Rhinolophus ferrumequinum: one gene and its partner. The protein of the gene in region 1 purifies or fractionates together with the protein of each later gene. This does not show direct contact. Links are inferred from orthologs where the notes say so. Each region holds a gene or a part of one and is shown on either strand. Other genes may lie near its edges. The genes, in order: MTOR and AKT1S1.

What was found.
Region 2: the proteins of MTOR (region 1) and AKT1S1 purify together in Homo sapiens (affinity purification with western blotting; 8 studies listed by BioGRID and IntAct, with this or other methods). This does not show direct contact. The link is inferred for Rhinolophus ferrumequinum from reciprocal best matches to the Homo sapiens genes MTOR and AKT1S1.

Annotation. Positions count from the first base shown.
Region 1 is NC_046292.1:7,570,675-7,574,586, forward strand, and holds the start of MTOR (serine/threonine-protein kinase mTOR), read right to left. Parts: upstream 2,519-3,912; 5' UTR 2,387-2,518; intron 465-2,386; 5' UTR 451-464; coding exon 289-450; intron 1-288. UniProt on the Homo sapiens protein: Serine/threonine protein kinase which is a central regulator of cellular metabolism, growth and survival in response to hormones, growth factors, nutrients, energy and stress signals.
Region 2 is NC_046298.1:44,905,121-44,909,032, forward strand, and holds the start of AKT1S1 (proline-rich AKT1 substrate 1), read right to left. Parts: upstream 2,513-3,912; 5' UTR 1,838-2,512; coding exon 1,785-1,837; exon of another isoform or gene 1,692-1,784; intron 1-1,691. Other genes in the region: TBC1D17 (TBC1 domain family member 17), read left to right, coding at 2,915-2,935, 3,407-3,505, 3,713-3,787. UniProt on the Homo sapiens protein: Negative regulator of the mechanistic target of rapamycin complex 1 (mTORC1), an evolutionarily conserved central nutrient sensor that stimulates anabolic reactions and macromolecule biosynthesis to promote cellular biomass generation and growth.

The DNA of each region.
Region 1 (3,912 bases):
CGACCACTGTTATCAAGCAGAAAGAATTGAAGATCTGGAATGCAGTGGGGAAAAGAAAACAAATTTTAAAAATAACTCTCTATGCTGACTCCTAAAATGTCACTACAAAATAGGAAATGCCACAGAACTGTGTAACCACGGCAAAGGAAATTGCCCATTCTATGACACGAGAAACTGGGTGCATCTCTCAAACAGAATCTCACTGAGCTGTCCAAAGAAATCTAAGCCAGTGATGGCACACTTTGCCCCAACACGCCAGGGATGGCCCCAGATGGCAGAAGCCCCCACCTCTCGAAGCTCCATGGTGACGTAGTGCTGGAGCTCCTTGGCAGCTTTGGCTCTGGTCTCCTCATTCCGGCTCTTCAGGCCGCTGGCAAACTGCTGCAGAACACTCACGTTGCTGGATGTGGTGGCGGCTGTGGTGGCGACAGCAGGTCCGGTTCCAAGCATCTTGCCCTGAGGTTCTTTGAAGAGAAGCTTCCTTTAAAATCCTGGTTAACAAACTAGGGCAGTGAGTTTATTTACGACTCCAGTTTCTCCATACCGATCTCCACCCTGTCCATGTCAGGCAGGGAGACTTCACTAAGGAAAGTGGAGAAAGCCACTATTTATTCAATAATGACTGATGTTTCAGAGGCAGCGTAGTAACAGGGTCAAATTGCCGGCTGCAGAGCCACACTACCTGCATTTGAATCCAGTCCAAAACTATGTACCTTGAGAAGATACTTGAAATATCTATTTCCTCCATTGCAATAGGGGAATACTACTACCTAATTCATAGGGTTGACGTGAGGATTAAATGAGTTAATACATGTTAAAAAGTATTTAAAACAGTGCCGGGCACACAGTGAGTTCTGTTAGCTATTATTATAGTGCCAGAAACTAGAGGTGGGGAGGTAGAGAGAGAATAAAACATGCCTAAGACTGCCTTTCCTCAGAGAGTTCAATTTAAAGAGGGAAATTTTTATTCCATAGCAGCATTGTCCAACAGAAATATAACACAAACCACAAATGTAATTTTAAATTTCCTAGTAGCCATATCAAAAAGGTAAGAACAGGCAATATTAATACATTTTATTTAATCCAATATACCCAAAATTATCATTTCAACATGTTACCAATATAAAAAATTGATATATTTTCCATTCTTTTTTGTACCAAGTCTCCAAAATCTAATGTATATTTTACACTTAACGGCAATCTCAATTTAGACTAGTCACATTTCATGCGCTCTAAGCCACATGGTTATTATTTCATGCGCTCTAAGCCACATGGCTGGTGGTTATCGTACTGGACAGTGCAGTTCTGTAGAATACTAGTACTTGAAATGTGAGCTAAAAGAGACTGATTAGTTCCTGAAACCATTCATTCATTCCTCAATTATGTACCTGTCCGTTCCCTCAATGAGCTTACAATCTAAGGGGAAATACAAGTAATCAGGCAACCACAATAAAGTGGCCAGAATAGGGGTTGGCCCAGACTGCTACGGGAGTAACATATATACCTAACTTAGGTATGTTCAGGTTATAGTAGAATATCAATTTTTCAAAATTCTTATTTTTGAAAGAATTTGCGATGTCAAGGGAAAAAAACACACGGAATCATTGGTTTTGAAAACCTTTTAAATACTCCAGTGCCAGAAAAAAGACTGCAGAAGGAAATGTCCTCCTCCAGGGGAGGGAATATCCAAGGATCCCTGATGAGAAAACTACTATAGGGTGTGTGACCGCGCCTCTGTGATGACGGGGAGGGAGGCTGGCAAGGAATTTCTATTCTCAGGAAAGAACCAGCCTATCTTTTTAAGGTCTAAGGCCCACAGGCCATCTGCTCCAGGCAGAATGCAATTAAAATGCTGGAAGTCAAATGCCCTAAGGGAACTGGGGAGGGCTTACAGAAGTTCAAGTTGGGTGGCTGAAACTAGGGATGGGGGCGGGGGAGGCAGAGGGATGAAACCCAAGGATGGAACCGAGCTCAGCTCCGGGTAAAGGTTCCTTGAGAAGTCTCCAGACTGGAGTGCAAGGGGCTGAGACTGACGCTGGTCTTCTCTGAGGACAATTTGTAAGGTGGCTCCGAAGAAGGGGTGACTGACGGACAAGGAGACCCAAAGGCTCCCCGATAGTACCGGAGCTGATGGGCCGGCCTTCGCGCAGCCAGAGACGCACGGCAGGCTCAAGGATCCAGGGGTCTCCTGGGGGTCCGGGAGGAGGTGGGCGTTGCCTCGCAGGGTGGGGGTTAAGGGCTCAGGCGGCGCCCAAGTCTGGGGCCAGTTCTGAAGGGACCCCAGGGCCCAGAAGGGCGGCTTCCCCGGGCCCTCCACAGACCAGGCTGGCTGTGGGTCTGGACATTCCGCCGCCTTGCATGGGTCGGTGCCAGGCTCCAGACTCACCGCGCGGCTTCGGCCAAGGCCTCAGCTGCCGCCACCAGCGCCGGTACCACCGCTTCAGGCCCGGGGCCCTACCACCCGCCTTCCTCGCTGTCCTCTAAGCCGGCGGCAGGGAGGGCTGGCTCCCAGACCTAAGAACCAATCGGCAGGCGTAAGGCGAAGATGGATTGAAACACACACCAATAGTAATGAAGGAGAAGTGAAGCTTCGGGACCCGGCTTCTCCAGGGGGCGGGGACTGCTCAAATAGACAAACTACGCGGCCAGTGGCAGGCGAAAGGAGGCTTAAGTCCACTCCGGAGAACCAATCAGTGGTGAGTTGACTTCAGTCACTTCCACGCACACATCCGGTGCATCGGTACTATTATTCCCCTCTGCCTCGGAGCTGCGCCGTGCCTAGTCGGCTGCCTGGTAGCGGCGGTAGGCGGGGGTTCGCGAACTCGCCCGGCTTAATTCTAAGAGGAGTGTGTTTCCAGACTAGCGCTACTTATGGACCCGAGAATCTTTTCATTGCATTGGTTCTTCTGTGAAAATTGTTCCTCTGAATTTCACATTGTTTATTTGTGTTCAACATCTCTATATTTAATCATTAAACATTTTCCAATATAATGTATTCACTGTTCAAATCTCAAAATAAATAAAAATTACATTTATCACAATATATAATTTTGTGCTCCACCCCTGCCTCTTCACTACTTATTTTCTTACTTAACATATCCCTAGATTTTATTTATGTAAATACAAGCAAGTATAAACATTTTTATTTTCCCCTTTTGTTATACTATATACACTGTTCTGCACTTTTTTTTTTAAAGATTTTTTTATTGGGGAAGGACTTGATTGGGGAAGGGCTTTATTGAAGAACACTGTATTTCCAGGACTTTTTATTGGGGAACAGTGTGTTTTTCCCAGGACTCGTCAGCTCCAAGTCAAGTTATTGTCCTTTCAGTCTTACTTGTGGAGGGCGCAGCTCAGCTCCACAGTCACCGTTGTTAGTTGTAGGGGGCGCAGCCCACCATCCCTTGGAGGGAGTTGAACCGGCAACCCTGTGGTTGAGAGCTCGTGCTCTAACCAACTGAGCCACCTACTGATCCCTGTTCTGCACTTTTAAAATTTTAGTGTACCTTAGAGATCTTTCTATCTTACTATATAGAAAGCTTCCTTGTTCCTTCGTTGTTGTTATAGCTCCATAGTAGTATTCTATTACATGGATGTACCATAATTTATTTTTCGAGTCCTCTGTTGATGGACACTTGTGTTGTTTCCAAATTCTTGCTATTACTAATGATGCTGCAATGAATTCCTTTGTACATATGTATATAATTTTATTCCCTGGCAGCTATACCAAAAAATCCAGAAATGGGTATCCAGGGTCAGAGGGTAAATGCACGTGTAGTTTGATGGATATTATGAAATTGATCTCTATAAGGGAGGTACCAATTTTCATTTCATATGAAATTTTTGCCACTCTAAGACACGATAAGGCTCTGTTTTCTAACTGACAAAGATGGTTTTATAGCAACAGTAACC
Region 2 (3,912 bases), on another chromosome or scaffold:
GGAGGAAGAAGCAAGCACACCATCACTGGAGGGATTCAAACGAGGCTGTGATCCAGCTCACCGGGGTCATAGTAATTTGATTTCTATTCACAGGCCTTTTGTGACTCACAGTCATAGAAGCCAGTGCTTGCTGAGCACCTATTCTGTGCAGGGACTCTGCATCTCTCATCTCACCTCCTACCTGACCCACCAAGGTGGGAGCTGTCACCTCACAAATAAGACAACCAGAGTACAAGCCCTTGCCGCAAGCCACACGCAGTGACAACACAAACAGCACCTTTCCTGACAGACCCCATGGCAAGTTCATCCCCCACCTCCCACATGCCCGGCAGGGACTTAAGTGTGTCAACATTCTCATCACCAGCCCTGTGAGGGAGGAGCTGTTACCGCCCCATTTCACAGTTGTAACTGAGACCCAGCGAGAGTCAAGATCTTGACCAGGGTCAGACAGCTGGAGAGGAAAGCGGGAGACCTGGATCTGGCAGCCTGTTCTGAATTCCAAACGTCTTCCTACCTACCTTGTGAGGAAAGATTTATGATCACCTAGTCCAGATGGGGAAAGTGAGGCTCAAAGAGCTTAAGGCAGTGGCCCAAAGGTACACAGCTAGAAAGGGCAGAAGTGAGGCCGAAATTGCTGCCAGCCGGACTCCAAAACCAAACAGAACTGGGAGGTGCTCAAGGTCTCACAGCTCTTTGGGTCATCCCCATCTGATGAAGGAGGAAACTGAAGCTCAGGGCAAGGCAATGACTGGTCCAAGGTCGCACAGCCTGACAGTAGTAGGCCTGGGACTCTCACTTCTTTGGGACACCAGGATTAAACTCCTCTCTATCCTAGATCTTAGAGTGGCCAGAGAGTTGCAAAGAGTGAAGTGAGACTGAGTGGGAGTAAGGGTCCCCCCATCTCAGAGAGCATGGGCAAAGAGAAGGAGGGCAACTCACACAGACCTCTCTGCCAAAGCCTGGGGGCTCTCTGGAGTCAGTTACCCAAGAGGAGAGTAACCAAGATCTGGGGAGTCTCCCTTCTCTTCAGCTTCTATTGGAAGCCCTGTGTCCTCCAACGACCTGAGAAATGGAGGACCCCCTCCCCCAAATGGAGGAGTTTAAGATGAAGAAGAGAGGGAAACAATGGTGAAACCTGTCCCCCACAGGAGGGGTAAGGAGAGGTGAGTGGCCTCTTAGATGATGAAGTGAGGAAACTGACTCCAGGAAGAGGTGAGGAAAGGAAAAGTCCCCCAAGGAATGACGGATGTTAGTGAAGCCCCCTTCCAAACACCTGTCAAACTGAAAGTGCCCCGGCTCCAAGGTGGGGTGAACTGGAGGATGCACCCCGCAGCCGGGGGTGAACATCTGAGGTCTCTCCACCTCTCAGAGACCTACCCCACCTCTCCCGGGGACCAGCAAAGACCCTCTTCTCTAGAAAGAAAACAGGAAATCCTGCCCAGGTGGGGAGCATAACCGGAAGTCCCGCCTTTAGACGGTTGAGGGGCGCCCCAAGGTCCCCCAAGCAACCCTCCGACCCTATGGACACGGTCCAGTCAAAGTAAGGATCCTAATGGGTCTAGAGACAGGAAGGTAAGGCTGTCTAGGTTTTGCCTCGGGTCAGACACAACGGTTCCCGCCAGGGATCCCTTTCCAGCGCTCAGCGTACGGTCGCTGGGCGATCTCTTCCCTTTCATCTACGCAGGCCATACCCCTCTCGCTAGCGGTTCGCCCTCCCAGCGCCCCTCTCCTCCGGACCGCCAAGTCCTCCCCACACCGTGGTTCACAACGCCGCCTCCACTCACGTGCCCGTAGCCAGCATGGCCGAACCGGCGCCGTCGCCGCCCTCAAGAGACATGGCGGCGAATTGCGTCACTTCCCTGTGGTTGGCCCGCCTCCACTCTGCACACTCCGCCTCCCTTATCGGGCCGCCCGATACAAAGATGGCGGCTACAGGAGCTTCACCGGATCAGTGAGCCAACGGTGACAGCAGGGTGACGATAAGAAGGATGGGGAAATGCTTCAGTTTGTTCGGAAACAAACCGAGATCATTTCGATTTGACCCCAAGAAATATGGTCGCCTTGCACATACACATTCAGGACCACAGTAAACTAAGGCAAGCCACTTGACGTCCCTCATTTATAATCAACCTCTTCCACATAAGAAAAGCAGTGCCCGTTGATGACATGGCAGCCAGCCTGGCATCATTTGCCCTTAAGGTATATGGACTCTCCAGCCTATCCCCTTTCAGCACCAAGACTGGCAAAGATCCAACATGGCAGCCTTTCTTGCTTCGGTTTGCCCAATTTCAATATGGTGTCTCAGACCGCTTTCTTTCGACAGTGACTCATGAATTCGTCTGGGACCGCTTCGTTCCCGGGGATACTGACGGCTTCATCCCGTTAACCCGAGTTCTTCAGCGCCTCTTTTGCTGTACAGCTCCTCTCAACGTTGTTTTCCTTTCTCCGTTTCTCTTTTCCAGGACCCTGCCATCGCGCTCCGCAGAGCGATGGAACTGCCCCCCGTTGACATGGCCGCAGCTGACCCGCTTTAGTCGTGCCCTCAAGCAAAAGGGCATCTATTGGGCTTCGATGCCAGTATACAATATGGAGAAAGTAGTAGGCGTTTCGAAGCGTTTGGGTGAGGGGGTGGAGCTATTGGACCCGCCTCCTTGTTTACTTCGTGGAAAGGATGGTATCACTGCGCTTGCGCACCCTCGCTGGTCTCCACCTTTAGAGTCTGCGCCATATGACTTAAACCCTCGTGGTTCAACTTGGGCCACCCCATTCTGAAAGATGGTTACACCCACTCCTGTTCTAGAACAGGCAAAGGCACTACCACTGTCCGGGCTTGAGGGGAGTCTCCTATCCGGATATGACAGCATGTTGACCCGGAAAAGGAGGGACCCGAGACAGTGGGGCTTGGGCCGCGGCTATGGAGGGAGCCGGTTACAGGGTGAGTACTAAGTACGCACTTTCGCTTCTGTCTATATGGAACGCCCCCCCACAGTGGTCTGCTTTTCCCTCAGGTCGTGCCAGATCTCTCGGAGCCAGGCCGATCCTTAGCAAACACACCATTCCCTGGTGACGCGCTGTCACCCTTGCTTCCACTGCCCTAAGGAAGACCCATATCTTTTGGCCCCGCCCCCTGAGCTGCTGAGATATTCTTATGGACCCCGCCCCTTTTATAACACAATTCCCTACTCCTTCTCCCCTCTTTCCTTCCATCGCCCAGTATCCGGACGCCTGTCTGGTATGCAGGCTTCACTACTCGTAGTCCCATGCCCTTAGAAAATGGTTCCCCCAGGCCTTGCCCCATGGGGAATAGCTCCTCCCTGGGTCTACTCCCATTGGCTCCCTCCTGGGCCCCGCCCCTTAGGTGTCTTTCTGCTCTTGGGTCCCGCCCCTCACTGGTTCCTGTCCCCAGGTTGTGTTTGAGAAGGGAGGCGTGTACCTGCACACCAGTGCCAAGAAGCACCAGGACCCGGACTCCCTCATCGCTGGCGTCATCCGTGTTGTGGAGAAGGTGGGCTGGGATGGAACAGAGCGGGATGGAGGTGGCATCTGTAGGAGTATGGTCTGGTTGTGAGCTATGGGACCTTAGGATGATTGCGGGACTGGAGAGAGAAACGGAGCTTTGTCAGGCTGAGGGTCCAAAATGGGGAAGCAGTTTGGCAATATGGTTTGGGGAGTTAAGACGAGAGTCCTTTTAACACCGCCTTCCTTCCCTCAGGACAATGATGTCCTCCTGCACTGGGCTCCCGTAGAAGAGGCTGGAGATTCCACCCAAATCCTCTTCTCCAAGAAGGTAGGCTTCTCTTGCTCTGCCTTTCTCCACTTGCTTTTTTTCTAGGTCCAGGCAATGGAAGGCATTTGAAAAAGCTGGGTACAATCGCAGAACTACTCCTTGGGGCAGGTGTGACCCTTGCTGGT